Drosophila melanogaster: one gene and its partners. The protein of the gene in region 4 interacts with the protein of the main gene of each other region in a pairwise test. Each region holds a gene or a part of one and is shown on either strand. Other genes may lie near its edges.

Evidence for each region.
Region 1: the proteins of spin (region 4) and CG17377 interact in a two-hybrid assay, tested with the Drosophila melanogaster proteins (one large-scale study listed by BioGRID).
Region 2: the proteins of spin (region 4) and hale interact in a two-hybrid assay, tested with the Drosophila melanogaster proteins (one large-scale study listed by BioGRID).
Region 3: the proteins of spin (region 4) and AP-1mu interact in a two-hybrid assay, tested with the Drosophila melanogaster proteins (one large-scale study listed by BioGRID).

What each region holds. Positions count from the first base shown.
Region 1 is NT_033779.5:6,800,640-6,808,258, forward strand, and holds CG17377 (uncharacterized protein), read right to left. Parts: upstream 2,151-7,619; 5' UTR 2,069-2,150; intron 2,016-2,068; 5' UTR 1,999-2,015; coding exon 1,972-1,998; intron 1,909-1,971; coding exon 1,312-1,908; 3' UTR 1,214-1,311; coding exon of another isoform or gene 1,212-1,213; 3' UTR 1,069-1,211; exon of another isoform or gene 1,067-1,068; intron 1,012-1,066; coding exon of another isoform or gene 1,001-1,011; 3' UTR 739-1,000; downstream 1-738. Other genes in the region: CG17376 (uncharacterized protein), read right to left, coding at 1-42; Daao2 (D-amino acid oxidase 2), read left to right, coding at 2,413-2,615, 2,671-2,883, 2,953-3,249, 3,307-3,619; CG17375 (uncharacterized protein), read right to left, coding at 4,039-4,540, 4,607-4,720, 4,793-4,903, 4,959-5,038.
Region 2 is NT_037436.4:19,981,832-19,989,378, forward strand, and holds hale (hale-bopp), read right to left. Parts: upstream 4,038-7,547; 5' UTR 3,945-4,037; coding exon 3,724-3,944; intron 3,665-3,723; coding exon 2,665-3,664; 3' UTR 2,595-2,664; downstream 1-2,594. Other genes in the region: CG17732 (uncharacterized protein), read left to right, coding at 7-216, 281-2,360; schuy (schumacher-levy), read left to right, coding at 4,333-4,888, 4,952-6,201; Csas (CMP-sialic acid synthase), read right to left, coding at 6,238-6,514, 6,570-6,774, 6,831-7,021, 7,074-7,147.
Region 3 is NT_033777.3:9,553,139-9,561,259, forward strand, and holds AP-1mu (adaptor protein complex 1, mu subunit), read right to left. Parts: upstream 6,388-8,121; 5' UTR 6,112-6,387; coding exon 5,290-6,111; intron 5,231-5,289; coding exon 4,772-5,230; 3' UTR 4,574-4,771; downstream 1-4,573. Other genes in the region: RnpS1 (RNA-binding protein S1), read left to right, coding at 1-513; CG9386 (uncharacterized protein), read right to left, coding at 625-1,925, 1,987-2,251; BckdhA (branched chain keto acid dehydrogenase E1 subunit alpha), read left to right, coding at 2,737-2,805, 2,866-3,400, 3,467-3,632, 3,749-4,298; MBD-like (Methyl-CpG binding domain protein-like), read left to right, coding at 6,703-6,893, 7,134-7,475, 7,785-8,121.
Region 4 is NT_033778.4:16,123,015-16,132,004, reverse strand, and holds the start of spin (spinster), read right to left. Parts: upstream 7,025-8,990; 5' UTR 6,629-7,024; coding exon 6,223-6,628; intron 464-6,222; coding exon 106-463; intron 1-105. Other genes in the region: CG30095 (uncharacterized protein), read right to left, coding at 7,428-7,690, 7,753-7,920, 8,308-8,521. UniProt on the Drosophila melanogaster protein: Probable sphingolipid transporter that plays a central role in endosomes and/or lysosomes storage. Involved in TGF-beta-mediated synaptic growth regulation both pre- and postsynaptically via its function in endosomal storage regulation.

The DNA of each region.
Region 1 (7,619 bases), on a different chromosome or scaffold from region 4:
TGTTTCATTACAGGGTCCACAGCATCCACATCCGTTGCACATGTTGAGTTTGTCTAACGCTGCGGGCGAAAAGTTAAGATGTTATACTTTTTGAACAAATACTTAACACTCACTTTTTTGGTTGAGTTATTATCGAAAAAGTAAATTTGGAATTTAGAAAAAAATTTAGAAGTCGAAGCGACTGGTCCGAGAGTCAGATATCGAATGAGGTTAGCTGTTCCCTTGGCCCAGCACATCCAGTTCAAGTTTCGGTTCGGGTTGGCTTAAAAGTCATGGCCAACTTTATGAAATTTCATGGCCTACTTCGACTTAGCAAAGATTATGAAATCGCCACAGATCTACATAATTATATATCTATATTTGCCTTATTCACTAAAACAAAATATTTGACCCGCGAATTGTTTAGGTCAACTAACTCACTAAGATTGGAACATGGCTCTCCCAGCTCGAAAAAATGGGTTTAAAACAAAGTACTATCAGCAAAGTTCAACTTTTAATTAATTAAATCTTAAATGCCACGGAAACCCACCCTAATAAAATTGATATTAATTAATATAAATATCAGAATATCTGTGGGACATATGAACGTAAATTTTTATGGCCTTGGCATAAGGTTTCAACCTTAATTTACAATTCTAATGCCAGGCTTAAAATATAAATATTCGAAGCATAAGTGCAGCCATAAAATAAACGCAACCTTTAACACCCCCCATAATACACAGAATATAATTTCAATTTGTTTATTTGTAATTTAATGCCAAATAGATTCCAGATACCAACATATGATTTTGTGTTTAAATCAAGACCGTCTGACGAATTGCACATGGGTTCCCAAATAGCTTCGAGCCCTTCTAGTAATGGGTATTCCGCAGCTGGCTAAATCTTGATTTAAGCCAACTTCAATTTTTTATCAACCAAAACTACGTCACAAAACGACAACATGTCCCGCCAAGGAAGTGGCCCATATCAGGATCCGATCGAAACACTTGCCAGGAAATACTTATAAGCCACCTGTGGGATGAGAAAGGTAAAACCAGTGAATGCAGAAGGTATCGCAGTTACTTACACGCGACAGGATGCGGATGGAGGTCAAAGGGTCATGAAGGATTTGGGGCCTGGCAACAGCATTTGGTCCATGGATCCTACCTCTACGCTCACAAAGCCCAGGACATGCTATCATTGTTGACGGATCAGCGTAGTGGGCATAAAGCTCCTGCAAAAGGACATGAAGCGTCACCACAAGCACATGTTCCAGATGCTGTGACCTGCAAAGTCCTTGGGCATGCCTCGTGCTCCTCCGCTCCATGGTTTTTACGTTCTACGGACGCCCAGCGCCGTGACAGATGGACAAGCAGACGGACAGACAGGCGGACAGGTGGACGGACCTGGACCGGACTTACATGGGTACGTCACAGGTGCGTTATAGTAGTTCCAGACACGCGGATCGGGAATGCCGCCTTCAGGCAGCGGAGGGCAGCACATGCCCGGAGCAGAGGAGCAAGGAATGGGCGACGGAGCTCCGCATGGAGGACTGTGCGGGCCACAGCATGGAAGACTGTGCGAGCCACAGCATGGAGGACTGTGCGGGCCACAGCAGGGCGATACATTACAGCAGCAGGGACCGCATCCACAGCAGCCGCCGGCAACGCGTCCACCGCATCCGGCACCGCCATTTGGTGCTCCAGTGGCGGCACAGCGCATACGCTTATTGTTCACGCCCATCATCATGTTAGCGTAGCGCAGCGGGAATGCCGCCGGACCGCAGGTGGGGAAGGGGAAGCACAGGCAGGCCGGTCGGCCCTGGCAGGCGGACCGCGGGCACTTGTCCTGCAGACCGTTCCGCTTCACGCAGTCGCAAGTGGTGTACATGATGCCGCATCGTAACTCCCGACTGCGGCATCCGCGCGGCTGGAAAGGATGCATACATAGTGGTCACAAGTGGTCAGTGGTGTGTTGCATATGGTTACTCACCTCCAACGATCCACATCCGTCACACATCTTGAGCCCGTCGAGCGCTACAGGACAAAGGATTTAAAAATATACTATGGTCTTCCCGGGATAAACTTACTCTATTTGGTCAAATTAATTTGGAAGAAAAATTTGGAATTTGGAAAATTTAGAAGCTGGCCGAAACGAAAGGTCCGAGAGTTTGGTATCGAATGAGGAATGATCAACACATCCCAACACACATATTCGGTTCCGTTTGAGATGAAATGCAAGGCCAACTTGTTGGAATTATAGCCTACTAGATTTTAAGAAAGAGTTAATATTAGATTCAAAATGCAAAAAGCTTTTTCGCTCTTTTTAAAAGCTCTGTTATCAGCTAATTGTATTATGCGATTTGCTTACAATTCTGATAAGCGATCCTCTTTTCAGTTCATTCCAAGTTCCCAAGCTGATCGGATTGGAGCAATGCCTAACATTGCAGTTATCGGTGCCGGGGTTAATGGTGTTGCCAGTGCCATTAAGATACTGGAACACTATGTGAACGATGGAAAGACACCCATAAAGGTGACGATCATATCGGAGGACTTCACGCCTAACACAACTGGAGATGGTTCGGCTGGTCTCTGGGGTCCGTACCTTCTGGGCGGCACTTCGCAGGCGAAAGTCTAGTAAGTTTTACTAGTCACTATATTATATTCTTACTTATAACTTTTTTTCCATCAGCAAGTGGTCGAAGAGCATGCACCAATTTTTGGAGAAGATCTGGCTGAGCGAGGATGCCGGAGAGGCTGGCGTTTGTCTGCTACCCTGCATTCGGCTGAGCACCTCAACGGTGGACACGGTCGAAGATTTTTGGCGTGACATTGTCTATGGAGCAGTGGATCTGTCCAAGGAACAGCTGGCTGCCTACAATAAAGGTCGCAGCGTTAAGTTCACGTAAGAATATTCATAGATATCCATAGATTTATACTTGCTGAAATATGAACATATCTAAACCATATCTAGGTCTGGTTTATCCTTTGTTACCTACACCTCGGAGCCCATTAAGCTACTGCCGTATTTGATGAAGCGTTTCACCCGAAATGGAGGTGTTGTTGTCCGGAAAAGGATTACAGACCTGGATGCATTTGTAGCCGATTCCGAGTACGATGTGATAGTCAATTGCTCCGGATTGGGCTCTAAGACCCTACTAAACGACGATCAAATGTACGCAGTGCGTGGCCAAGTTTCCCGGGTGAGGGCCAACTGGATTTTCTCTGCCGTGCTGGACGAGAGTGATGATGGCAACTATATTATACCCAAGTGAGTATTTGCCAGTTACACTTATTTGTTCGTATTCCAATATCTGAAATATTTAAGCACCGAAAGTGTTGTCCTGGGCGGAACCCATCAGGAGCGGGACTACAACACTAAAGTCTGCCAGAACGACAGGCGGATGATCGTCGATGGCTGTCAGCGGTACATTCCTGGTTTGGAGCACACGGAGTGCCTCTTTGATTGGGTAGGTCTCCGGCCGGGTCGCACCCAACTCCGACTGGAAGCCGAGCGCCGCGGCCGCAAGCTCCTCATCCACAACTATGGACATGGCGGCAGTGGAGTCACTTTGTGCTGGGGCTGTGCCGACGATGTCCTCAATATCCTGTTGGCCGCCAAGAACGGTTCCAAATTATAAGTCAGTTGGAAAGATTATTATTTTAGTTCTATAACAAAATTGGTAGTGTAAAGGTAACAGCATTTAAAAGCATCTCTTTATCTACATAATAAACATTTTAATATATTTCATTACACTTAGCAATTTCTATATGGAAAATGTTATAAAATTGAATTGAATGCTGTACTACGTTTTGATTGGGTCAATGCAAGCATATTTTTGCCTGTGTAGGCAGCACTATCGCCATGGCATGGGGATCGTATTGATAGGCTTATCACCGACTGCTTGGAAACATTCCACTATTCCACCCCCCCCGTCAAAATTGGCACTCCACGATGGTGCCTGCAATTAAGTAATTGTGAAAGGGAAGCTGGGGGAATTACGATGGGGTAGCCCAAGAGTAGGCAGACATTTATGTGAAGAAGACAGCAGGAAACATATCAAATATCGTCGTCGTGGCGCTTTTCGGCTGCCTCCTTGGCCAACCTGGCATCCAGGGCCTCGTGGAACTCCTCGAAACCGGGCATTTCAATGTACTTCAGTACCGGCGAGACGGCCAGTTCAAACAGCAGTGCGTACATCTCGTCTAGCTCGCGAAGGATGTCAAAGGGCCGGGTGTTGCCAACCTTGTAGATCGAGTAGATAGTCCGCCCGATCTCTTCGTAATCGATCAGACTGGCGGCCTCCTGGTCCACGGAGCTGAGGGCGATGAAGCTGACCCGCGGCATGTGCATGTGCTGGGCCACAAAGCCAAAGACATCGAAGATGGTCGACAGGAAATCCCGGTTAAAGTAGAGCTCATCCGGAAAGGCGATCTCGTGGACGAACAGTGCATCGTAGGTGGAGATGCCCATGTTCGCTTTGGTCGCATCGATGAGCTCCTTCTTCATCATTATGATCTGCTGGAACAGATTCCTGGGCAACGAAGAGGGAAAGAAGACCCTGTAATAAAAACAGACATGTTACTAGTATATATTAGGCAAATGATAGTGGATTTATTGATCATACCAGGAGTGCCATTCCTCGGTCATCCATTCCAGCAATCCCACTGCCCTTATTTGCGTTTCATCTTCGCTAATCATCATCACGGAGCACTCGTTTCGCAGGATGTGTCGCACATACCTTTATAACAATATTCCAATAATGTTTTATTACTCTACATTTGTTCATAACTTTTTTATAAAAGCACATTACCAAGAATAAGTCTGTTTCATGTCCGGCAAATCGAATAGTCCCAGACTCTCATAGACAAGACTTTTCAGAAACGAATTGGACCACATGAACTCGATCACCATGTCATAGTACCTACATATATTTCAATTTTAACATCTAAACTTTACATTTCTCTGACCATACATGCTTTGAATTGATGTCAACTATTTGCATGCCCTCGAAAACATCCCATTGGATATCATACCGCAGAGTGCGGACATCTTCCATCGCATTTAAGTCACTAAGAATTTTAAAACCACCGAAGATTTTTGAATTATATATACGAGCTCAAAAGGTAGAAGTTAAAAGTCTGGAAACTTAAGCTAAAACTGCAAGATACTTTCGAAAGAAGAAAAGAAAAGCAAAGCATACTTTTTGGGTCCATAAAAAGAAGGAAGTTAACGTACCTCAACAGACCATTTTTTTGAGTGTTTTAAATGAAGTACATTTAAATATCTGAAATGTATCTGTAATGTTTAGAATAAAAGGTGAGCAATACATTTCTCTATTAATGTAGATAATTTCTTGCTAGAAGATTGGAATATGGGTTTGCATACTTCTTGGATGGCATTCACGTTGCTTGTAAAACTGTTCAACATATTGTTTTCCAAATACGATGGTCTTAAATTGGTTTTTTTTTCATATCCAAACGGAATAACCGTAAATGTTTATTTGTATTACGAAATGCAAATGAACTGTTTTGAATAATGTCATAATTAAACGAATATACAGGCGGTAACAATCAAGGGTGATACGTGTAAATTTAATTTGTCTAATGTCTCAATTTGAATAAATTGCCACCACATAAAAGCAAATGCAGCCCAAAAGAATGTAAATAACAATCGCACCCATTTTGTGGGTGGAATTCAATGGAAGGCGGATATCGTAGTCAAATGGAAACCAAACCAAATCCACCCTCCAGCCAAAAAAAAAAAAAAAAGAAAAAAGAAATGTGCCAACTGAGAACACGTCCTGGAACATACACCTTGGATTCCTTATTTTAAAATTCAAAGACCATCGGGTGTCATTTACTAGGCAACAAACCAATTGAATAACCGAATTTGGCTCGGATGCTCCCTCATTTCCTAAAAGGATCCCTTCTCAGGAAAGACAGCGCATTTTTAAATGTTTCACATCCTTGTCCGTGAGACAATTGAATATTTAAATACAAGCGACACTTTTAATGGCTGGCATCGGATGTCGGTTGGACCGCTGCCACACGCATTTGTGGCATAGCTATTCAGGACACGTATGCCGCCGTCTCATGTCTCTCCTGATAAATTCAATATCGAAAAGAAATAACTTAATTTTTGGCATTATTCGATGGGGGATTTATTTGAAAGTGCTCTTCGCTTTTCTCTTCATTTCATTAGAACGAATGGTTCGAGCTTAGTCGAGCTGAAGCATTGAGCATCGGCTTTGGCTAAGTCCGCAATGGACTTTATGATGTTGCATAAAATGTGTGTGTGGCGGGCATAAAAACGTCTCATTTGGGACTCATTTAATCCGCCAAATTGTTTGCACACACTCGCATTTGCCACACCCATCGTCGCACATCCTTTCATGCCACAAAAAGGTAAACGATTCGGTGCCGCAACAATAGCAAGTTTCAATTCATTCGAAAATCGCTTAACGTCAGCCGGGCGGTTTAGCATGTTTTTCAGCGCACACCTGCGCATTCCCTCGGAATCGCGAGCTGGGTGGTGCCACCCAATGGTGAAGCTGGTCTGGGTGGTTCTCTGTGGATCTGGGTGGTGCCCCTGTCAGCCGTGACTTGCATTCGCCGCTTGCGTTTAAAATCGAAAATACACAACGAAATGGAATGCAGCCGAAAAGCAAAGGTGTCGGCAGCTAAACGGCGATCAGAACGAAGTTTATACATTCTAAAGATAGTAGTAGTAAAGATACAATACATAACTTCAGACTGCTTATATTACTAACTAAATTACTAAACTAAATGATCTGACTAAAGACTGAAAGCATTTTTGATTTATTTTTTATTTATTGAATAGTAATGCACACAAGAAACCATGTATTTAAATATTTAAATTGAATGGTATATTATCCTAAGCTGTAGTTTCTTATAAATTTATACACTCTGCACCCCAATTAACGAACCCTTGACAGGGTATGTCAGTGAGATGTGATTGTGATGGCTGAAAAAGCCGGCTGACAATGGATTGCGGGTTGGTTGGAATGGATTCTGTTGGAATGGGATTCTGGGAGCTGTACACTTGTTAGCCGCAAGGTGTTTGCAACCTCATCAGGGGCAGCCCACTTTCCCATACCCATTTTCATTCGGTTGAAGCTTCGCGGTTGTCGAAAGGCAAACAAATAAACAAACAAGTCGTCAGCAAGGGTTCAACAAAAGCAGAGTGCTCAAAGTAATTCAAAATACAGTCAAATGGGAAAGGAGTTGAGGATAATCCATGGGATAATCTATGTGCTGCCGTAGTGTTACCCCATGTTTGATTATTTAGCGTTTAAAAAGCGTTTAGTCTAAGTATCTTTCTGTTTCACTGCTCTGCAGATGTTGAAATACATGAAATTTTTACTCTGGAACTTTTCTCGGCAATGATTTGCCTGGTTCACTTTAGGGGAAAAATTGCGTAGCGATCATAGCTCATAATTATGCTTGTAAAAACAAATTAAACTTCAGTTATATACTCCATTTTGACTCTTCACAAAACTCCGTTGTCTGCTGGCTGATTTTGGGACTTAAAATGAATTTAACAACGGCAAGAGAGGCTTCATTTTTGTGGCAACTTGAAACAATGATGTGAGCAAAGCTGTTTTCAAGCCAAAAGTC
Region 2 (7,547 bases), on a different chromosome or scaffold from region 4:
ACTCAGAAATATAGAAAACCTACTTAGTACTCTTGCTGATGAAGAGGAAACTGAAAGCGAAGTTAATATTCCAGAAGATACCAACCAAAAAGATGTCGGTAGTTCAGATAATGCAGAACCCAAGGATCTAAAGCATAAACACGGAGATTTTAACAGTCCAGCAAAGGACGATATAACCCGACCTCTTGTCCTCGAAGAAAGGCACTCGCTATCCCTGTAAGCCCCATCGAATATGGTATATAAATCGATTAGTTTTAATGGTAATTTTAATAAATTTCAGTGCTGAAACCAAGAAGCGCAGAGAGATTGCTTTCTCCAACGAACTACTTTTCATACCCAAAGAACTCGCACGCAGCGAACTTCAGCAGCGCACAAGGACACTGACTAGATACGCCAAGAATCGTGAGTACCATCTCCGAATGCTGAAATTTCCGATCGGTTCGGGTCGTCCTCGATACGTGGCTAAGAAAATGAAGGAGGCATGTTATCCAAAATCCAATGAAGCCAACCATGATCCCGAAACTACGGACATTAAGCAAGAAGAATGCATTGATGAGCCAAACGAAGTGTTCCAAAATCCAAGGGAGTTACCCCTTAGCATGCCCGATCTGGAAACAGAAATTGGAGAGCAGAGTCAACTATGCGATAATGATGAAATGAACATTATGCTGTACGACTTTGTGAAGAAGGAAGTCGAGTTTGTCTCGGAATCGGAAAAGATAAACCGCAAAATCCTGCAGAGCCAGCGTGAAAGTGTGATAAGAACTAGCAACTCCAAACGCCAGCACTATCCCTACTTTTCGTGGCACAATCCAGAGGGAGAGTGTGGTGATTCGAAAGGGGAGCCGGAAATCGAAGTGGGCTGCTGTGACGTGGAGTGCATGACGATAGTGAAGGAGGAAGTGGGCGAGGAGGTGGACGAGGAGGTGATGATGAAGAAGGTAGAGGAGGAGGAAGTGCGACATACCCAGGAATTAGGGAGTCCTGAACAGGTTGATCCACAACCAGATGAGGAGCTTGAGTCACCTGAGCAACCACAGGCCATCGGCTTCCTTTACTCTTCCACACAAAGCCAGGTTCCTGTGCAAGACCTGGCTCCCGTAAGATCAGGATCCCCTGAAGATTTCGGACAAACGGCACTGTGTCAGCAGTTAATTCACCACATTGTGCAACCGAATGTCTGCAACGAGGATGCATACCACCAATCCATCACGTGCAACAATAACGCCTCCGATCGAATGAATCAAAATCTCGGGCCACATCCGACTATTGAGGCGTCTGTCGCCCACGAGGTATCCTTCCAATGGAATCCCCAAAATGCTGATAACTACACGAATCAAAATCAGCTATTCCACAAGCAGCAGCTGCACATCCAGAATCAACCATACCTGCAACATCATTTCAAATTGCCAGCCAGTCAGCAGCAACACGAAGCGATTTTCCAGCAACAGCAGCAAGCGGGGAAGGATAATCTGCAGCAGTTGAGAGTCTTGTATCAGCGGATCAAGAACCGTGAGAGGAATCAACTGCATCACCTGAGCAAGTCCATGAAGAAGGTCTTGGATGAGCGTCTGATCTGCGAGCGACAGCATGCGGAGGAGAAGCGATTGTTCCAGCTCAAAATGGAGCAATTCAAGAAAGTGGAGGAGAAGTTCAAGTTGGACAGGGAGCAACTGCAGCACCAACTGAGATCCGATATGAAAACTCTCGAGCTGAAGATGGCTAACCAGCAGCGCCAGCTGGAGGAGAAGGCTCTGGCCTGGTCCTGGCACCAGCAGCAGCAACTCCAACAGCAGCAGCAGCATTTGCAGCGGCACCAGTTGCTGATACAACAGCAACCAGAAGCACAATCGCCGCAGCAGCAGCAGCAACAGCACTTTGTGCATCCAGATGCCCATATGAACACGGAGACTTATATAATGCAGCAACAGGCCTTCCTGTACGATCCATCCTACATATACTCAACTGCCTACCAGGAATCAGTGGCGTATCAACAACGCATCCAAGCCTACCATGAGCAGCAGAACTACCAAGCACCCGAGTCGCATACCACGGCAGTTGAGCTGCAGCAAAGATTTCTCCTTCCGCCACCTCCGTATTGCCAATCCAGCAGCAGGACCTGCACCCAAGTTAGTCCCTCTGCCCGGAAAGTGAGGCGTTGTCGCACAAGGATTTCTGAGCTGGGAACGGATCCGTATCCTTGCCAAATAAGAACTCCCTTGCCGCCAGCTTCGCTGATCTTGCCCGGCCACCGGAATTTGCAATCCCAACCCCTTGAGCCCAGAAACGACCATTTCGGAATAAACTCGGTCATGTCCAACTACGTGGCTAGCTTTATGAACATGCAGGCTGATCGATAATTACTTTTAATTACAGTTCATTGTTTAACGAACATTACTTGTGATATAAGTCCTAGCTGCTGTAGAAATTGTGAAAGAATTCATTTTTTATGTATCATAAAATATTTATAAATAGGGTTTAAATATTACAAACTAATAAACGAAAAAAAAACCTTAAAAGTGACTCTCTCTTCATATTGCAAGAATAAATATTCTTATTATTGAATTCAATTAAGAAATAGTGGCAAGCTGCTTGCTTAAAAGTCTTGGAATTTTATTACACTTTCTTCTTTTACAGTGTAGGAGTGGCTCTTAGTCCCCTTCCCTAGCGACCATCTCTTGGAGGAGCTCGCACCAAGCCGGGATGCCAGAAGCAGTTGGAGCAGTTGCAGCGCGGACAATGCCAGCAGTTTCCGCACTTCATGCACACATTTCCGGTCGCATGTTGGGTGGGCGAGGAGCAGGGGGATGGACCTGGTACGGATCCGCCACTGTCCCAGAGATCCTTGTTCCGGAGACACGAACGACTGCGCTTCGGGCTGGCCGAACGAGCTCTTGGCAGCCCGGCGGCGGAGGCAGATGTGGCTGTTGGGGATGATGACGAGGATGGTGGTTGTGGTGGTGCAGCTGGAGGAGCACAAGGAGCTGCCGGCGGGCAATGAGGCTCTCTCTTCGCCGAACTGGAATCTGGCTGATCTAGAAACCTAACCGTGGGCGCATACAGCTGGAAAGCCAGAGGCTGGGGGATCTGCAGGTCACAACAGGACCTCTCCCGTTCCTTGCGCAATTCGGCCAGCAGGCGATTGAAGGACAGGTCGTACTGCACCAATTGCTGCAACGGCAGCTGCGAGTCCTGTGCGGGATTCGTCAGCAGCTGCTGATGCGTCAAGTGCTGCGGTTGGGCCAGCGGCACCAGGTTCCACGATGGCGGAACTGGAATCAGGCTGCACAAGTAAACGGGCTGATTTAAGCCACCATGGGAACTGGGTGGTGCCAGGCAAAAGATCTGCGGCATCGCTGGGGCTCCTTGAGCCAACGATGATTCCTGTCGATAGCATCTTGATGGATTTGGCTGCGAATCATATCCAGCGCATGGTCCACCGGCTGAACAACACTGGCCATGAAAGCTGCAAGGAGAGGCCTGGATGGGATTGGGCATCGGAGTTGGATATGGATTGGCACTAGGACTGGCACTTGGACCGGCTGTACCTGGCTGGCCAAATCTGTCCAAGCCACCATTGAACTGGGTACAGCTCGAGCAGATCATGTGATTTTTGTATTCATCCAAATTGAAAGAATTCGGCAGTGGCACATTGCAGTCAATGCTGGAGAGGAAGGGAGTAGAAATCGAATCACTTTTCATGGAAATTCATGTATAAATTACCTCAGACCCTCTGGACACTCGGTGACCAGGCACATGCCCAGTCGCGGTGGTTCCACCTCGGACTTGGAGGGCACATCGTTGGTCGACAGTGGAGCGTAGGACATGGTGAACTGATGCTGTGAATTTCCCTGCGACTGCAGGCCGCCACCGTTTCCATTGGCGATCAGCTTGCCCGACGAGGTTGCATTGCATCCGTGCTCACAGCTCTCCGTGCAGAACATCTTCAACTCTTCACCACCCGGAGAGGCCAACTCACGGATATGACAATTTTGTGTACATGTTAAAGCACAAAAGGTGTAGAAATGTTTGACATCATAAAGCTGAGACATACTGATTGATACCAGACTTGCTTCTCTAGTATATAATTTGAATTATTTTAAGAAATAAATACTGTTTCAAGTTTTTAAATAATTTTATCTTATTAATATTAATATGGTTCTAAAATCTTAAACACCAAGAACGTTTTGGTCACTACTTACACAGTAAGGGAAATCCAGTTTCGATGAGCATTTCAAAGTTGACAGTACATTTGTCGCCTGATATACTTTTTGATATGCGTTAGGAAACATCAACTCACAACACCCGGAAAACACATCAAAATTCAGGAAAATGGAGGCCCCAGGCGAGAATGAATCATCAGGGCAATTGGCCAAATCAAATGACGAAACGGTGGCCAAATGCTGTTTCATGATTACCGTGGGCACTGATGGTCTCATCGAAATTAGCTCACTTAATCAGGAATGCAAGAATCCCCAAAGCGGAGCAGACAGTAGTAACTCCCCACTGACGAATGGCACTAAGGAAACCAAGAAAGAGTGCATAGCTGTGCTCAAAGGGAATTCAAATGACATCGATGATGACTCAACTGAAAAGCTGGAGAAGAGCAAGAATGACAAGTCCATAGAGGAGATCAAGAAAACCGAAACTTTGCCGCCTTTCGTTAAGATCTGCAACAAGGATCTGGCGAATAGACCTTCGTTCGTGGTTCTCGAGGATGCTTTGGCTAGGAATCGGATTCAACAGGACATAGAACAGTCGAAGGAAGACCAAACCGGCAAGTGTCAGACGCAGCAGACCTCGCGTTCCTACGCCATTTCTAATGCAGGATCCCAGACGGACAAAGCCTTTCCGCAGTATCCAACCACCAGCAATAGCAACCAGAAAGGTTATATTATTCATTTTAGATTGCTTCTATATTTATGTTCCTTCCTCCCTCTTTATTCCCCAGGTAACACTGTACAAGCCGCTCGGAAGTTATCCCTTCAAACTGCAGCCCAGGTCCGACAAAAACTTTTAAAATTAAATCGGGAGCAACAGCAACAACAGCGACAACCGTCGCTGAATGAGCAGCATCAACAGCAAATGTCCTTGCTGCAACATCAGAACATGCAGCAGAATGTGCTGCAGCAGCAGCAGCAACATATGCAGCAGCATTTGACGCTGCAGCAACACCCGAACGTGCGAGTTCAACCGACCAACAACTCGCCATATGTGACCATCAGTTTTATGCACATGAATCAGCCGGGGACGGCAACATCGGGTTGTCCTGTCATGTATCCTGGCCAGCAGTTCCTGTGCGCCACGCCGAGCAGCATGTCCAGCTGCTCCTGCTGCACGTGCAGCAATTGCTGTCCGTCGAGGACGAGTCAAGTCTGCCCAATGCAGATGGGCAATCAGTATCAATGTCCAGCCAACGGAAGCAACTGCTGCATGTTGAAGCCGGAGAGTTTTGCAAACGGCTGCTACAACGGTGGTACATCCTGCTGTCCTTTGTCGAGCATGGAATCACATCCTTCTATGGGATTAGGTGGTCAGATCAGCCAGCACATGATGCACCCAGTTCTCGGAACCTCCACTTGTGCGCTGCAGCAGCAGCCGAATATTCCGATTTCTGGAGGATTTTATCCCTGTTGCTCGTGCCAATCCTTGTGCAACCAGTGTTCCCAGTGCAGGACGCACCCCCATCCTTGTTGCCACTGCCTGGGACCCTTCAACAACCAACAGGTGTTCCAATCACAGCAGCAGCAGCAACAAGCCCAAAGTGTCTGCTGCCCCTTGAAACCAAGCCAGCGACGCAGCAGCTTCTACCCATCCAAGGAAAAGTCACTAAAGTCCAGCGAAAGATCCCACAATCAGGATGGTATAAAGCCCATATTTAACAAGAAGGCCCAGGTTCAGGAGAAACCCCAGGATGTCAAGGATGCCAAGGCCACCCAAGACGATCAAGCCGGCAGCAAGAAGTCGCCATTACCCCGATCCATGGGTGGTGCATCATTTGCGAGGACCAATCCATCCAGCCCAACCTCCCTGTGTGTCGCTCGGTTTGGCAGGACTTGCTTGGTCCTGAGACCCACCAGCAACGCCCTCATTCCACGCCTCCTGACCAAGCGAATCAGTCGCTACACTTCCGTGATAGCCTGGCCAACAAAAAGTGTGAAGCCTAAACTACAAAATCAAACCAACATTCAAGATCAATGAACTTTACACTTTCTTTGATGAATAGCATATCTATTTCTATAACTCGGTTTTTGTTTCACTACTTAAGATGTATTTGGCTAGAGTCAGATCGTGGCTAGAGTCAATTTCCAGACTATCCTTGGCATCGATTTCCACAACGGAGCACCTATTGTTTTGCAGTAGCCCACTGTCCACCAGTTTCCTCCTCGAGAAGTAAAACATTCCTGTCTCTACAATATCACCCTGCCAATCTTGGCGTCTTGGCCTGGCACTCAAATCGAATTCCGCTGGCATCAATTCACCATCGACCACCTTCCATCGCAGATAATGTGATCTGAAATAGATCATAGATTTTTAAACATCTACATTTTTCTTAGAGCATAGTGTACCTCTTAGCGGCAAAAACACAGTCATGGGACTCAAACTTTCGAACAGCCTCTTGAATATACTTGGTTTTCAGGAATACAGATGTGCATTGGAATAGAGCAAAGTCATGAATACTTCTATGAACATCTAGGAACTCCGAAATGGCATGAAGTGAAGGAGTGTCGTCTCTGGCGAATTTCTCAGGCCGATGATGTATTATGGCACCATCTAAAGTGCTCAAGAGTTTAAAAGATATATTCACTATAATAATATTTAATGCTCACACTTTTGTGCCTCAATGGCAATTCGTTTGTCATCTGTGGAAACCCAAATATGTCGAAAGCAAGTCGAATTTTTGATGGTCATAATTGTGCGGGCCAAAAGCGATGAGCCACCAATTTCAGCCAGGTTTTTCAGCTTGATGCCTTTGCTGCCTCCCCTGGCCAAAATTAATGCATGAATATCGTTGCTCAGACTGAAATAAAATCCAATAAATAAAAGTACTCATAAATCTGCACTACACTAACCAATTTTCCGTGCACCCGGTTTCGAAAAGAAAAACTAGTAAAATAAGAAAAGTGGCCGGTTTCAGTTTTATCATTGCGCTGTGCTTCTGGTTGAGGTCGAAATTTAAATAAAAAGAAAAATCGTGGCGCCCATATAAGATATATGTATTAGGGTGAGCCAGTAAGTATAACATAAGTACACAAAATATTGAAAAAACAGAATATATTTAAAGTATTTTTCATGATCGTGATCCTTTTCTATTTTGAGTTCTTTTGTGATTTAATAATATAATTTAATTTAGTTTGCGATTAGTTCACTCTAAAATGTACTTGTACTAATTCAAACGCACACAATAGCCTAATTTACCCTATTGTGTGTTATTAGAGGGGTTGCACTTGTGATTTATGCAAATAGACACTTTATGGGGACTTTGGACTACTCTGATTTTCCTTACTCGTTCATGGAGGGCAGTACTCACCAGTCAGTCCACCAAA
Region 3 (8,121 bases), on a different chromosome or scaffold from region 4:
GAGCGCTCCCGTTCGCGGACTCGCTCGCCTTCGCCCAAACAGGTGCGCATTCATGTCGGTCGGCTTACCCGCAACGTTACCAAGGACCATGTGTTCGAGATATTTAGCAGCTTTGGGGATGTGAAGAATGTGGAGTTTCCCGTAGATCGTTTTCATCCTAACTTCGGACGCGGCGTGGCGTTTGTGGAATATGCCACACCCGAGGATTGTGAGTCGGCCATGAAGCATATGGATGGCGGGCAGATAGATGGCCAGGAGATTACGGTATCCCCGGTTGTCTTAGTAAAACAGAGGCCGCCCATGCGTCGTCCTTCGCCACCGATGCGCCGTCCGCAAAACAACCGCTGGCGATCCCCACCCCAGTTCAATAGGTTCAACAATCGTGGAGGAGGTGGTGGCGGCGGCGGCGGACGTCGTCAGTCACCCATGAGGAACCGGCGTTCACCACGGCGTCGCTCCCGCTCCCCCATTCGTCGTCGACGCCGCAGCAATAGCAGTGACAGCTCTCGTTAGAGGACACTGATCGACTCCTAGTTTCTACAATTGACACGATTATTGCACTTTTCTTTATATTATAATCCAAATAATAAAGGTGAGCAAATACCACACACATAGAGAGTTAGCTTAGTGTATAAACGAGCACTCAGCATCATCGAGAGGACATCCCAGCGGATGATGAAGCTTGAAAAAGCAGCTACGTTTCTTGATGGTCAAATGGGATTTGGGGAGAGTAGCCGTTGGTTTAGGGGTTCTTATTCCTATGAGATCACCACCGCAGAATTCGAAAACTTCGTGTTTATTGCGCAGCAATGTTTTGATGCCGCCGCACTCGGATTTAATGCCACTCAGCTCCTCCTTGGTGAGAGCCTGGGCAATCTCTCTCATGGGCAGACGACCAGACCATTTATCTTCGTTAGAGTCCAGAATCAGTTTGAAGATCTTAAACACTAGACCATCAATTATGGTCTTATCCACCTGCGTGCAATTTCGAACGCTCTCCTCCTTCTCGCGCAGCTTAATTTTGGCATCTCCGGTCTTATACTTTCTTAGCTCTTCTTGGACAAAGTACTCCAGATCTTCAATAGCCTTTGAGGCTTTTCTCTTAATTCCCAGCAGAGCCAATCGCTTGGTGCTTGGTATTTTTAGACGGTCTTGTAGGATCTCATAGCCACATTCATGAGAGACCTGAGTGACGTATTGAAAGAAATCCTGGTAGGCACTTATCTTCGTATTCCGCCTGCGAAACTTGGCTCCCGACAGTTCAAAGGGACAGCAGGGCAGTAGGAAATAGTTAATGTTCAAACGACCAGCCAAAACCGGTAGCCAAGGAGACAACTCGTCCGAATGGTTACCAATCAACCAATCCACACCCGGAAAATCCAAGCGGAAGCTGTTGGGCTCCACGGCCTTTTCAATGAGGCTCCTTTGGGTATCCGGTGGATAGAGGGACCATAGCTTTCGCTTTCTTATATCGTAGCCATACCCTTTGTAGCCCTCGGCGTTGAGGACATGAACTAACAGACCGTTTCCACAACCCAAATCAGCGAAGGCAGTGGGCTCCGATTGTGTTTGACTCCACAAAACTATAAGATAAGCAGCGATAGCCAAATCCTCGTAAATGAACTTGAGCGGATCCGTGGACTCCTGTGCGGTCTTCCAGTGTTCCAGCAGGCGTTGTGAATGCCTCTGTTTCAACTCCTTGTACAGATCATTGTACTTTTCCACATTAACCAAACCTAGTGACTTCACCTTTGCTTCATCCTGCTTGGACTGAGACCAGCTTAAGAGCTTTGGTCTGAGCACAAATTCCAACCAGTTGGTGTTCGATTTGGACTTCAGTTTAAACTCTCCTCCAAGGAGGCCCACGGAAAAGCCTTCAATGCTATCGCTGGCAAATTGGCACTCATAGAGACAATTCTCAAAATCTGTAATTAGGAATATAATAAGAATTGTCTAAGAAGTAAGTAATATTGTGATTATCCTCACCCACAATTCCGGTGCCTAGGATGTTTTCCGCCAGTTTCTTGGACAGCAGTTTGAATCCGATCGTAAATCCTGTGCACGTGCGCTGGCTTGGATCCTCTTTTAGAGACATCGCCAACTCCTCCGCACTGGATTCACACACTCGCCCATTCTGCTGCTTTGTCACTTGGGTAATGACTACCTCGAATATCTTTTTATTCAAAGCATGATAGTTTTTGATCAGTATTCCAATCGCTTGCCAGAATTGTGCTTCTTCTACTGCTGCCATGGTGTCGAAAGCGAAAGGTGGCTCAAGGAAAACGAAAATATTAAGTATACGCACGATGGGTAGCTGCGTCTATCGATATTTGTTTGGCGCGTATTTAAAACGAACCCTTGCTAACATATTATCCTGCGTTAGCCATCGTTATTATTAAACGGATATTAATTCTTGGGGTTTATTTTAAGTTATTAATGAGAAAAATGTATCAGATAAAGAAAACTATATTGTAAATACATACAGTAGTATAACCTTCAATATGAAAATGTAGCCTCAACATCGGGATAAATCAATTAAAATGGAAATGAAAATAATAATAATTTAATAAAATCCATTAGAAATTTTTTTTGGAGATCTCGATAGCCAATCACTTAAACATCGATTGATTGAGACTTATCGATATGGTATTGTGTTGCGTAATCAGCTGGGAAACACGCAGCTGAATCTTCAAAATTACCTGTTGCATTTAATAGATTAGACACAAATTATATACCATGTCATTCCTGCGAAAATCGGTGCACCTATTGGGTTCTGTGGCGAGGCGCCAACGACACCTGAAAGTGGTCAGTACTTGGAGTGATCAGAGGGGTATGTTGTTATTTGTTTGGTTTTACCCATGACAGATTGAAGGAGCGATCTCGACAGCTGCGCGGGACTTCAGCTCAAAGCCATCGGAAGATTACGCCAATTTCCCCGGTGCCAAGGCTCCATTTGTCAGCAAATTGAACCTCATTCAACCGGAAGACTATGCGCCAATACCAATTTACCGGGTGATGGACCAGGATGGCTATATAGCGGATGAGACCCAGGATCCCCAGCTGGGCCGTGAGGTTGTGGAGAAAATGTTTCGCGATATGGTGCTGCTGAACACCATGGACAAAATCCTGTACGAATCCCAGCGACAGGGCAGAATCTCATTCTACATGACCAATTTCGGCGAGGAGGCTTCACACATTGGCAGTGCCGCCGCCTTGGAGATGCGGGATCTCATCTACGGGCAGTATCGTGAAGCGGGTGTTCTGGTTTGGCGTGGCTTCCGTATCGACCAGTTTATCGATCAGTGCTACGGCAACACGGACGACTTGGGTCGCGGCAAGCAGATGCCCGTCCACTACGGCTCAAGGGAACTTAACTTTGTCACCATCTCCAGTCCGCTTTGTGAGTTAATATAGTCTTATTTATTTGATGAGAGAATGCTTATCCAGTTTCTCTGTTGTATGGCAGCCACCCAAATGCCCCAGGCCGTTGGTGCCGCCTACGCCATGAAATTGAGGCCAAACAACGATGCCTGTGTGGTCTGTTACTTTGGTGAGGGAGCTGCTTCCGAGGGAGATGCACATGCTGCCTTTAACTTTGCTGCCACTTTGGGTTGTCCGGCTATCCTCTTCTGGTGAGTAACTTTAAGATACATATTATTTTGATAAGATAACCTATTTTGGATGTATTTCTTATCTTATCAAAAATACCATTCAAATAAGTTTCTTCATGACGTACCTTTCTCCACAGTCGAAACAACGGCTTTGCCATATCCACACCATCGCATGAACAGTACAAGGGCGATGGAATCGCCGGTCGCGGACCTATGGGCTATGGAATTACTACCATTCGAGTGGATGGCACAGACGTCTTCGCCGTCTATAATGCGATGAAGGCTGCCAGGGAGTATGTCCTCAAGGAGAACAAGCCGGTGGTGTTCGAGGCACTGGCCTATCGAGTGGGTCACCATTCCACCTCAGATGATAGTACAGCCTACCGACCAGCGGAGGAGATCGAGATTTGGAACTCGGTGGAGCACCCAATATCCAAGCTTAAGCGCTACATGGTGCACAAAGGCTGGTTTGACGAGACTGTCGAAAACGAATATGTCAAGGACATAAGGAAAAAGGTTTTGAAGCAGATCGCAGTGTCCGAGAAGAAACTCAAGCCCAACTGGCGTGAGATGTTCGAAGGCGTCTACGCGGAGATGCCGGATCATTTGATTGAGCAGCGTAGCGAGCTGGAAAAACATATCGAGGCCCACAAGGAGCACTATCCCTTGAAGGACTTTGAGAAATAGATTCCAGATAGGTGCCATAAAGATGCTAACAAATCAGAAATCAAAACGAACCGAGAGACTCGATCGAAAGTGCATTTATTATGATTAAGCAATAGGCAAACAGTTTTTTGTGGGTTCAACCCGTTTGTTATGACTCATCTGTACAGGTGGGTCGGTGGATATGTGAAATTAGACACTTTGGGTTTTTGGGTTTTCTCTGACCAACGAAGAGGATAAACTTGGTTGCATCCTAGGTCTTAATTTGCACATACAAAGTGACCCACTCTGGTGCAGGTGTTATGAAAAGGTGTTAAAATTTATTAAATTTGATTTACATACAATATACATATACTGAAACAATACGAATACAAATATATACTTTTGACTTAACGCAACGCATCGCAGACAAAAACGCGGGTGGAGATGAAGCTACCTGTTGCAGGATGACTCGCTGAAGCTTGGCTGGAATGATGCAGGAACGGGAGTTGCCCCTTTCAATTGGTGCGTAGCTGATAGTCGCCGTTCTGCGTGATGTACCGCACCCATGGCAGCGCCTGATAGCCGCTCTTCTCGATGATCTTCAGATAGCGCACCTGGATGCCCGACGTGGTAAAGTAGGGAATCTCGAAGCGCACCTGAATTGGCGGCTTGCCCTCCGTATTGTCCTCGCTTTCCACGCTCGGCAGACCGAAATGTGCCCGCATTAGATACTCCTTGCCACCCGGGAACGATTTGATCGTCCAGATGATTGCGTTCTGCTCCGGTGCGTACTTGCAGCTTCCAATGGTGGTCTTGAACTTGGGTGAGTCCGCGTCGGCGGGCACTGGTATGACGATTTCCACGTTGTTGGCCGTCGATCTTCGCTTGAACTGAGACTTCGCCTTAATCATGTACTCCACACGGGAGTGGGCATGCCGCTCGATCACTGATTCGATCCAAATCAGGGGTTTGACCTGTCAACAGGGGTTTAGTTAGTCTTGCATTTTGGTGCTAAGTACATAAAAATACTCACATGCGTGTTCAGACGATAGGACATCAGTTCGAACTCGCCGTCCGGAGGAATGAACGAGATTGTCCGGTCATTCTCGAAGCGTGACAACCGCACGCACTGGTGGAACTTGACGTCCTCCAGCTCTACGGACTTTGACTTGCCGCGGCCCGTGCTCTCGAACAGAACCTTGTCGTTGAGACCCAGTCGCAGCTCTGGCATTCCCGACAAGTAGACGCGCATCTTAATGGCGCCCACGATCTCGCTGCGCAGCACATTGCCATTGGCGTTTGCGAGAAGATTCACCGACTCGATAACGTCCAGGAACACCTCGTTCTTGCGATACTTAATGCCCTCGGACCGCCAGGATACTGCATTGGTCACGGCCACCGGGATGCGGGGCTGTAGCTCCAGCTTATGACCCTCCTGCGTAATGTATTCCTGTAGAATTTTCGAGTCGGTGGTCTGCGGGTAGCCAAAGTCGAGCAATTCATCCAGCAGCTCGTAGATGATCACGAAATTGTCCCGAATGGACTCCTCCTCCAGCTCCTTGAAGTATTCCACAAAGACCTGCGCGATCTTGTGCAGAAAGACGAAGACCAGAGCGATATTAACGTTCTTATTGCGCGGCGTCGTGGATACGATATAAAGATTGTTCGTTTTGATGTAGGCAAATGTAGTCTCCGCCGTCTGAAGGATCGGAGTGATTAGGCCCTCCTCCTCGCGCTCCATCAGCAATGGCATGAATTTGTCGATCACGGCCATGTCGATGTTGTCACCGCGGTAGTTCCGCGATATCAGCACCTTGCCCTTCACGTCCAGAACGAAAATGGCCGACGAAGACATGTCTCTTGGTTCCCAGCAGCTGCCACTTGTCCCAGGTGTAAAATTCCCAATTGGATCGAGTGGGAGGTCGCTTCGATGGTTCTACTGCTCGCGGCAGGCGTTGCGCGTGGAAGTTGGCAACTGTCGCGAGGTGGCGATGAGTGGGCTAGGTCTATCAATGGGCTGGATTTACATATTCCGTTTCGTAGACTGGAAAATGCGAATGAAAACTCCGGAATTTCTTACGTCGCCTTTTCTGCTGCTTCTTTTTCTTATTAGTTGGCCCACCAGTGCTGTGAAATGTTCACATCAGGTGTTGGGCAGTGTGGCCAGGTGAGATTGGTCTACTGCTGATTAACTAGCGAATTAAGCTTAAAGGAAATGAAAAATGTGCAAGGTGTAACATCTTAAGGTTTCTGTTTTTAAATAAATACCTTTTAAATTATTTTCATTTTCCCATTGGTACCTTTAAATTCAAATCATAAATATATTGGAGAATGTAATCTAGCATCACTATTGTGCCATCCGGCATTTGTGGCCATCCGCAGTACGGCCACACTGCTAGCCCAGACGCTGCTTTTGTGGAATTGTTAATTATTTATTTCGGCGAGCATGCAAATGAACCCGAGCGTCACAATCGAGCGCAAACGCGTCGACTGCAGTGTCCTGCCAAAGGGATGGCAGCGCGACGAGGTCCGAAAGTCCGGCAGCAGCGCCAATAACAACGCCAGCAGCAACAACAACAGCAGTGCCACAGCCAGCAGCAACAACAACAATAACAAGGTGGATGTTTTCTACTACAGGTAAAGAAGAAGAGCAGAATTACTATATAGACTACTATATACCTAAAATCGGAACACTGCACGCTGTTTAATCGGATAAACGTTTATAATCACTTTCACTACCTTTCTGTTATTACATCCGCATAACCACACACACACACACCATATACACCACACACACGCATACGCCTATGTATACACACGCACACGAACTACCACCTAACCCACCAAAAATATCCATCCACCGCCGTGTCTGTTCAGCAGTCCCACAGGAAAAAGGGCGGAGGGAAAGCCACAGGACATTGCAATCCCTGATTTCCAGCCTGGCAAAATGCCGCACTGCGCCCTGCCCTCGCCCTCCATTTCGCTGTACCGCTGCAGCGCCATGCCGCTGCCTATAGCAAGCGGGGGCGGTAATGGGGCCACCAGCGGATCGGCGGCCAATGCCCTCAAGCGCAAGTTCGCCCGGAGTCAAGGAGGCAATGCTGCAGGAGCAGCAGGAGCTGCTCCTCCGGCAGCGACCGCCTCGTCAGCAGCAACAGCGACAGCAGCATCTGCTTCACCATCAACGGCCAATCGCCAGCAGCAACAGATCGAACTCAGGTAGAGCCAAGTGGATGAGCACTTGACTCTTGCATGTCAGCGTGTCATGTCTTGTTTGCCAGGACGCAAGGTCTACAGCCTGCGGCAATTAAAAAGCATCAAATGAAAAAATACCCAAAGAAACACACAATTGGCAAAACAATTCGTAGTTGTCTTCAAAAACGCTGTAGCTCTGTGCCACCTGAGATTTATGTTCCACCATCTCTGCATGCTAAAGCTTTACTTTACGCTTTGTCTAATGTGCTGTTCGGTGTTTTAGCTTTTTGAAGGCGTTTCTCTAATACATTTCCAATCTTTAATCCCTTACAGCCGAGCCCTGCGCACTGATGTCTCCCTGGTGCCTCCCATTCGACAGACTGCCTCGATCTTCAAGCAACCGGTGACGGTGATTCGCAACCATAAACAGGATCCCGCCAAAGCGAAGAATGAACCCAAGCATGGCACTCGGGAGAAGCCGAAACAGCTGTTCTGGGAGAAGCGACTGGAACGACTACGCGCCTGCCACGACAGTGGCGAGGAGCTAGACGACATCTCACTGCCCAAGACCATACGCACCGTTGGCCCCAATGTCAACGAACAGACCGTCCTCCAGTCGGTGGCCACGGCCCTGCATATGCTCAACGCCGGCGTACACGGCCAGAGTTCT
Region 4 (8,990 bases):
CAGATGATAAGGCGCATTCGTAGACGGATGATAAGAACCCATCCTCCCGGACTGTTGATCATTGACCTGGACATTGGCCGGCAATGTCAAGAGGGGAACACTCACCCCAGACCGGATCCCACGGGTATGGCAAAGTAGAACAGTGCCAGCATCTTGGAGCGCATGTCGTGCACGAACAGATCCGAGATAATCGTCGGTGCGATGGTACTGTACGATGCCTCGCCGATCCCGACCAGCGCTCTGAAGGCGATGAACCATCCAAACTGCTTCATGAACGACCCCAGTAGGGTGGTGGTGCTCCACAGACCCACGCCCACCGCCATTATCCAGGGGCGGGAGTAACGATCGCCCAGATAGCCGAAGATGGGGGCGCATACCATGTACGAGATAACGAAGACCGTCTGGAGAAGTCCGGCACTATCATTGCCAATATCGAAATCATTTCGGACATCTGTGAGAACTCCTGGAAGATGAAAGGATGAAAAGCGGAGATTAGATCCTTTTCGAAATGTACATTTTAGAAAAGTGGTATCGGTGGAAATGTAAATGAACATACAGTATTATGTATTACTCTTTTATTGGCATTATGTATTAGGAATTCGCGTGATGTGTGATATACATTGTATACATTGTACTTCGTACATATCAGCCCATCCTCAGCGGGAGTTGTTAATTGACAAACCATATAAATCGTTAATACAAGCTTGCTATATTCGAGTGTTTTACGTAAGTCCCAAATTGTTCAGTTTAGCAGGGCAGATGGATGTATCTATAATTAGCACTCCCCAGTCATTGGAGCCCCACTATGACGGCGAGAAAATTCCGGAAATGTGGCGTATGCTTTTATGGGTCATCATATTTTCCCCAGAGTGCCATAATAAACCCATCGATATCTATTAAAGAGAAGCCTATATAGATAGTACCAACTTTAATTGATCAAAGTTGATACAACGCCCATTTTTGTCGATATCTTTGTAGTGGTAATAATATCTGCAATCGATAGTCAAGGGTGTGACAATATGTTGGATCTCAATGTCATTATTTATCTTAAAATAACATTGAAAATGTAAATATATCATAATCATGCTGTTTATAGTCTCGAATAGTAAGTACTGATAAGATCCGCAACTTTTTATCAGCTGAAGGATAGCTTTTCAATTGGTAACAATCGAAGTGTTGAAATATCGAAATATCATTATCTTACTAGTTATTTCGTAGCTCCGATAATCAATGTATCGATCTGATGAAAATCTGTGTCATGATTTGAATATCGATCGCTGCGATCACCTTCGCACACATTTTCTCAGCTGTGTGGTCATGTATTTCCTGCACGTCTCGTCTTCAGCTTTGCGACGTTTAAAAATTCATTAACAAACGGATGTGCAACTAGCGAATTAATTGACAAACGACCTTCGTCAATAACTGTTAGCCGATCTAACGCTACTTCCTACATTCTACATGCAGCTCAAAATAAAAACAAAAACCGCTATTAAGCTCCGTATTTCTATGCGTCTCTCTTCGTACATTGGCCTTTGCGGAATGGCCAAAATAAAATAACTACCTAAAGTGCTTGAGTACCCAAAAATAAACAACGGCCCACAAAATCAAGTGGGCGATGGGAGAGAGTGAGAGTGGGGAAGAGAAGGAGAGAGAGAGTGTCTGAGATCAGAAGCCGGCAAATGCAGCAGCAACAACAATGACACACAGAAAGCTCAACAAGTTGTGCCCCAAAGAAGGAGAGCGAGCGAACGAAAAAGAGAGCCGCAAAGAGACCTCAAGAGAGAGAGAGAGCCGAAGCTCCACGAACCCCCGCGAACCGAAGCGAAACGTGGCACGAAGCAGCCAAGTTGCAGTGAATCAGCCTTTGCTTTTTAATTATTCCATTTTCTGGGTCTTTTCGCTCATTTCGATTTGAGAAATTTATCGTACGATGTTTTTCGACCAATCAGCGTGTTTGTTTGCCTTGCCTAGTGACGTAACGGTTGGGGGACGCCACGCGATAAGTCTGTGTGCGTGTGTGTGTGTACTGCATTGCGATTGTGGACTGAGAGTGGCTGGCGGAGAGAGGCGGAGGGGGGACACAGTGGGGCTGGTCTGGGTGAGGCATTCCTTATGATATATACATATGTATATTTATATTATTGCTATCTCGCACACTTAACGAGTAATCTCATTCCACGCAAGGAATTCCTAATGTTTATGGGCACTTCTTGGCCAAAAACAAAAGAAGTCAAAGGAATACGTAGATACATACATACCTCCCTCTCATTACCATTTTCCCCACTTTTGGGGAAGTTTCGTCAATGTATTTAGTATTAGTATTCTTTTTTAGCCGGCTGCCGCATTTTTAGAACCTGTTTATCTCTCTGGCCAAATTCTCTCTTTGGTTTGTTCTCTCTTGTGCCCAATAAACGCGACAGTGGGATTCGCAATGCTAGGTTTTATTACAAATAATATTTGGACTTCCCCAAAGGTGGAACTTTCTGGAAACCAGACAATGACTAGTGGTATTTACTAAAAGACTCTGAAATGTATGTACGTTTATCTCAAAATAATTTCTATTACTTGAGCAGTACAAATTCCAGAAGTCGAAATTTTGAAGTGTTTTATTTTTCCAATTTCAACGAAGCTTATTACTATAAAAATGCACTGTACTGTGGCCAGAGAAATCTGTAGAACGTTGATCCGTTTAAAAAGCCAATATTTATAACCAGGCAACTGCAGAAGCCACAACAACAAAGCCGGGACTCTCATTACCATGAATGAATGAAAAAGTTGTTTGCGTCCGAAAGTGACTGTTCTCAGTCACTCTCTCCCTCTCTTTCGGCACAACAGCAGTCTATCTCCCTCTGACCCCCCATGTTCTGTGGCGTCTGATGACGTCGGCCTTGAAAAATCGCGCGATATGCAGCGTAAGCTTTAAAATCGGACGATGAATAAACGACGAATTTCTGACAGATATTTCGGCCACGAGTCGAAGTCAAAACCCAAAAAAAAACGAAAACCAAAAAGATAAAAACTCACTGAGGCTGTGACTTTCGCTTGGAATGCATTTGAATGCTTAGCGGAGCACTCGAATTGTGTTTAGAGAAAAACTTTCTTGCTTTCTTTTCGGCGGGCCAGGTGGAAATTAATTGTGAAAGCGGCGGCGCCCACAGAAAAGTGTTCCCCAACCATCGCGTTCCAGACATTCCCTACCCCAACCTTTTTTCTACTATTCTTCGGATAGTTTTTTTGCCTTTCGTTAATTGAATTTGTTGCGGCAAAAAGTGTGCACTGCACTTTGCGTAGGTCGTTGACCCAAAAAACGTATCTTGAATGCAGAATAGAACCATTGACGTTGAATGAGCGCGCAAGCCTCAAACAAAAATGCAAAATACGCTAAGGAAATGTGCATTTGTTACATCCACGCGTTTTGTGTAACCAAAGAACCTATTCAAATTTGAGGCATACGTAAGTAAACTATCCACAAGTTTGTGCCATATTTAGAAATATCGTTTGGACAAATGTTTATGCAATGGAATTGATTCAGTAAATTTCAGTGTGAGTAATTTCACTCAGTTGGTGGTTATTTTCCAAGGGTATTGACAATTTCGGTTTGTCAAGGCTGCATATTTTATATTTTCTTTTCATTGTTATTTCTTTCCCCAACTGCGATGGCAACAAAATGGAAAGTTTTTATGTATCTTTCGCAGAAAAAAAAACATTTAAAGCGAATATATAAAAAACCGAACTCAGTGACTTTTGGGTTTAAACAAATGCAAAATATGCAAAACAAACGTTGAAAAATGGCAAAAAAAAAGTAAAAGTGATTGCAAAAGACTTGAAAATAACTAAAAACAGATATATGTATGCCACCGAAATCTCAACTCGATCAATTGACATAGACAATTATTGTGATCGCTTGCTTTGGATGGGGGCCAAGAAAATTACGTCGGAAGCATAGCAGAACGGCAACTTGGTCTATATATCTCAGCCCACATATCTGTTGACCAAAATAAATGCCAGTTCTTTTTGCGATGATCAAAGTTCGCTGTCGGTGCAGAAATTGAATTTACTGTCAACAACAGAATAGCCCCGCCCCCCCCTTCCCATCCACCCTCACACAGATCACGATCATGAATGAAGAGGGGGGCTTCCCAGTGTTTTTTTTTTTTTTTTGACCGAACGAGGTGGTTACAAAACATCACACCACTACCGTCAGTCGGTCGGTTTTAGCTTAAAAAACCAGGCGAATTTCAGCAAAGTCGGAGGTCGAAGCCAAAGGCCGAGACGCACTTAAAATTATAATTAAATGCATTCCATTAGGTTGGGCAGACATCAGCTGATACACACGTCTATGTGCGCCAAATAAATATATGCATATGTATGCATGTATTTTTGCTTGTTATATACAACCACACGGAAACGTTGCAAATGCCGAAATTCACATTAAATACAAAAGGGCCAAGCAATCAGAGCAGTCAGTTAGCAGAAGCTAAACAAATAATCGCTTGGTAATCTAATCACTGCAAAAAAGTGACCCAAAACACCACGTGCACTGCAGCTGGTGATCCAATGCAATTGATTATGCAGCGCGTCTGGTTTCAGCCACTTCTTGATAAGGCCCAAAAAAGTGGGGGGGGGGTTGATAATGATAACAATGCCACTGGCAGAAATGGCAAAACAAAAACCTTGTGCGACCGACCATTGTTTATATGAGTTTTCTATTTCGCCTTGCGCTCGCAGAATTCTCAAAATAAACAATCAATTAGGCGCCCATGGAAATAATGAAAATTTCCGAGTGGCGAGTAGCGATGTGTGTTTATATTAAATATAATATGTAAACAGCGATTTTGTTTGGCTCGGTATGTAAGTGCTATCGCCCCTTTTCGGTGAGTAATTCCACTTCCTGTTCTGTTGCAAAAAGTCGTATGATGTTTTTTTAGTCACTCGATCCGGTGGCTTTACACGAATCAAAAGCTTATGATTTGCAACCGAAAAAAAAGGGTTGTAAGATCGATTTCCAATTGCCGCTGCGGCAATCAACTGATAACTAATAGCCAGTGATTTATAATTGCAAATTAATTGCAACTACACATACAGTAAAAGACGTTATCACATGGCCTTGAGTGGAAAAGTTCTGCTGACTCAGGAAGAACTGGCTGTTCAGGTTCACGAAGAAAATGCGAAACTATAGCTATAATATACACATATTTAGAAATGCATATTAAACGGTCGTCTGAGGCGGACTTGTACGTATAATAATCAGTCACAACTTGTTTCGCCATGTAACCTGAAACAAGTTTCCAATCGATTTGCACCGCGTTTTGTGTAACTAAGATGTCGCCAGTCGAAGTGCAAGTGCAATCGGTAGTAGTCTCATTTTCCAGACACAAGTAAACAGTGAAAAGAACTTCGGCACTCAACAAGTGTCCAATGAAATGCCGCCCGCATGAATTAAGATCAATTTCCTTCGCTAATGTTCTTAATAATAATAAACTCAACAATTATGTGGGCAGTGTGTCTGTATTTATCGACTGAAACATGAGATTACCCTGTAATTGTCACGCGGGCGGGGGACTTTCTGATCGCCGATCGCAACTACCATTACCCGCCGTGCTAAGCAGGTCAGGTGCCGCCACCGCCGTGCTCACTCACTCCATTTTATCGCACCTGAGTGCTAGAAATAATATACATATGTTTAGGTTTAGGCGAAATGGGTCTTGATTGATTGCCCACCCAGTGGAAATGTCCCGAGTTTCGGTGCAAAGCGAATCGAATGATAAAATGCTCTGTATGAATATTTTTGGATCGCGTGATTCACTTGTAAGTAGATTAGTCACTAATCAAATTCTCTCGCTCGCAATCTTTATGGTACATTTTGTAAACAATGGGAACGCGACGACTCGCATTGTCGACGATGAGGTATAAATTTCAACTGATTAGGTCACAAGTATTGTTGATTAGCGGCTGCTAATTAATAACATTATGATTTTGTCAGCAGATTTTGTGCAATTTAAATGTTTTTATTATTCTTTTGCCTGATATATAAATGAATACATACTATAAGTGCTTTGGGCTGCCCAATCTTTTGGTCACACAAAAGTTGTGATTTTTACAGCGGTCTATAGCAATCTTCTTCAATAGTGTCAACAAATTTTCCTATCTACTGCGGCAACAAGCCCCCCAAAAAACGTATGGAATCCCATAGGACACCCAAAGAGGTATCACCGGACTCACCTGCGATCGTAAAGCGATCCATGTAGTTGATGAGGTTGACGAAGCATAGCACGGTAACGGTGAACCACTGCGATCTGCCCACGCTGGAGAGACGCGATGGCACGACGGCGGATGGTGGTATGCCCGGGATGTGGTGGTGCTCGCCCAGTGGGTGGTGGTGATGGTGGTGGGGACGCAGTCGGTGCCGCTCCTCCTCCATGCTGTCCGTATCCGAGGGCATCAATTGCTGTGACGAGTAGGTCGTAGGCAGTCCGAGCGGCGATAGATTGGCCACATCCTCACGACTCCCGCCCTCCTCAGAGGAGCTGCTCCCACTGCTACCGCTGCTCTGGATCATCGCCGGATTGTCCATGGCGGCCGCCGTTGGGAGCGGTTGGTAGGATTGCTTCTGGTGTTTCAGCGACATTCACCCGATCACTCGATCCTCTCTTCTCTTCTCGCGCTCTCGCTGTCCTCTTTCGGTTGGAAATTCGCAGCAGGCGGACAACGCGGCAAAAAGTTATTTGCACACGCTCTTTGCTCACGCACACAGAGAAACGGGAACTCGCGATGAAAGCGGTTCAAAAGCGAATGCAAAAGAATTTGCTCTTGGGCTGTTGGCACACCACCGCGCTTCTCTTTTATAACACTTTTGCCAATTTGTATGGCTAATTCGACTGTGTACTGAGACACTTCCTCTAATCGCGGTTGTTCTTTAAATGCAGCCAATGCATTTGCAGTGCTTCTCGCTGTTTTTCTTTCTTGTTTCTTCCGCGACGCGAACACTGTTGCCTTTCCAACTGGAGTAAGTGCAATAAGTGTGACCGTCCGGCGACCGCGAATATATACCAGAATCCAATTGGCGATGACAATTTCGATAGTACTATCGATAAACTAAGACCAGCTGCATATCTATCGACTAATATCGGTATAGCTATGCCTATCGATAAAAAACATTTAAAGCAATTTTTAATAAATATTTTTACATTTAATACAAAAACATGAACAAGAATCTATATTAACAAGCTAAGTTGCGCTCTGTTAATTAAAGAATTTTTATTTTGCCATAATATTCTGAGCATTACAGATAGTGTACCACTTATCTCTAGAAAACTGTTGACAACCGAATTTGAATTCAAATTTAAGCGATGATTTTTTGGTTATGATTGTGATGATTAAAATCTAAGTGCGTTACGAAGGTATATGCGAATGAAAAAGAACGATTTCTATTCAATATCCATATCATCTACGCGCCCGCGAACGCGATTCTTGCGCTTGTGTTTTTTAGTGGGCGGTGGCAGGAAACTCTCAAGAAACTCAATGGTATTCAAAATCGTTTCCGAACTGACGTTTCCAATGTAGTTCTTGTCGAAGTAGACGACCGGTACAGGTGGCTCCGTTGAGAGCAACAATTTGTCACAATTACAACGCTGTCCCTGAATTTTTGCATCGAGCGTTTCCACTTCAACATCTGTGTTATTTGATTTGTCTGGAAAGAGGTGCCTAAATAGGTCAATCTATGTCTGAACTCCATAAAGAGTTGCCACCCACCGAATAAGGGACGAAAGCACTCCTTCACCTGAATCCACTTGGTGCAAAACTGTTTGATGAAACTGTCGTTCTGATTGAAGAAACTGCGAGCTGCATTGTCAACCCGGTATTTCATGAATCCAGGCACATATGGCCATTTGCCCTTCGCGGCATAAAAGCATATGATGTCTGAAATGTAAAAATTTAAGCGATTTGTAATTCTGCTAGCCTTAATAAAAGTATTCATATGCTTGAGGAGATAAAAATTTAAATATTTTAGTTGCTAAAGAAGTTTATTCATTGTTTCCTTGCGACATATGATAAATTGTGAAAAAGTATAGCATACTTTTAGGCTTAGCCGTATTCGTCTCTTAAAATGATTTCAATGCGTTGTGGATGTCTTTTAAACTGAAAAGAACTATTGTAAATTGGGAAGATATCACACAGAAACCTATGTTCTAATCCTTGTTCAAAATACAGAGATCTTGATCTAGAACATTCTAGTTAAATGTGGAAAAACTATGGCCCATTCTTGTATATAACACTTTCGATTGCGAAATAGATTGCTTAACTTACAGGGCACATGGAAGAGATGAAGAAAAGTGCGCTGATGCTCCAGACTGGAGATGAGATGAATACCGCTGGACCGCCGATTGGCCAGGGCCTTTCTTCCGGCAAAGGGAATCTCATCCACGCGGACACTCTTCAGATATGCCTCGCCCATGGTGAATAGAAATATGGCTAAAAATAGGGGCAGAATATGCAGAGCGATTTTCCGACGCAGCTCCATTGTCGAACTTTCCACTAGCCAGCAATAAATGTGACTGACGAATGTCCTGCAGGAATTGTCAGACACCTGAATGATTTCACTGCGCTCTCTATTGATTTTAATTGTGCTCGAGGTTGACATAAATCCAGGCAATAGGGATACATTGCATGTGCTAACCCAATTTGCCAGCCACAAAAAGTTCATTGCACTCAAAGTTACATTTGTGGAATATACATGACAACAAACATCATACATACAACAAAAATTAAGTCACAGGAAATGCAGTATGCAAATCATGAGTCATTAGCTAATATTTATATTACTCAATATAGACGAGATAATAATCAGCAGTCACCTGTCAGAACAATTCACTCCGATCTATGAATAATCAATTGATTTACAATTGCAATCCATCTGAGCGAGGAAGAACTACTGAACTATTACGAACACATTTCTCATTGCCGCCACGCGGCGTATACTTAATTTGCTA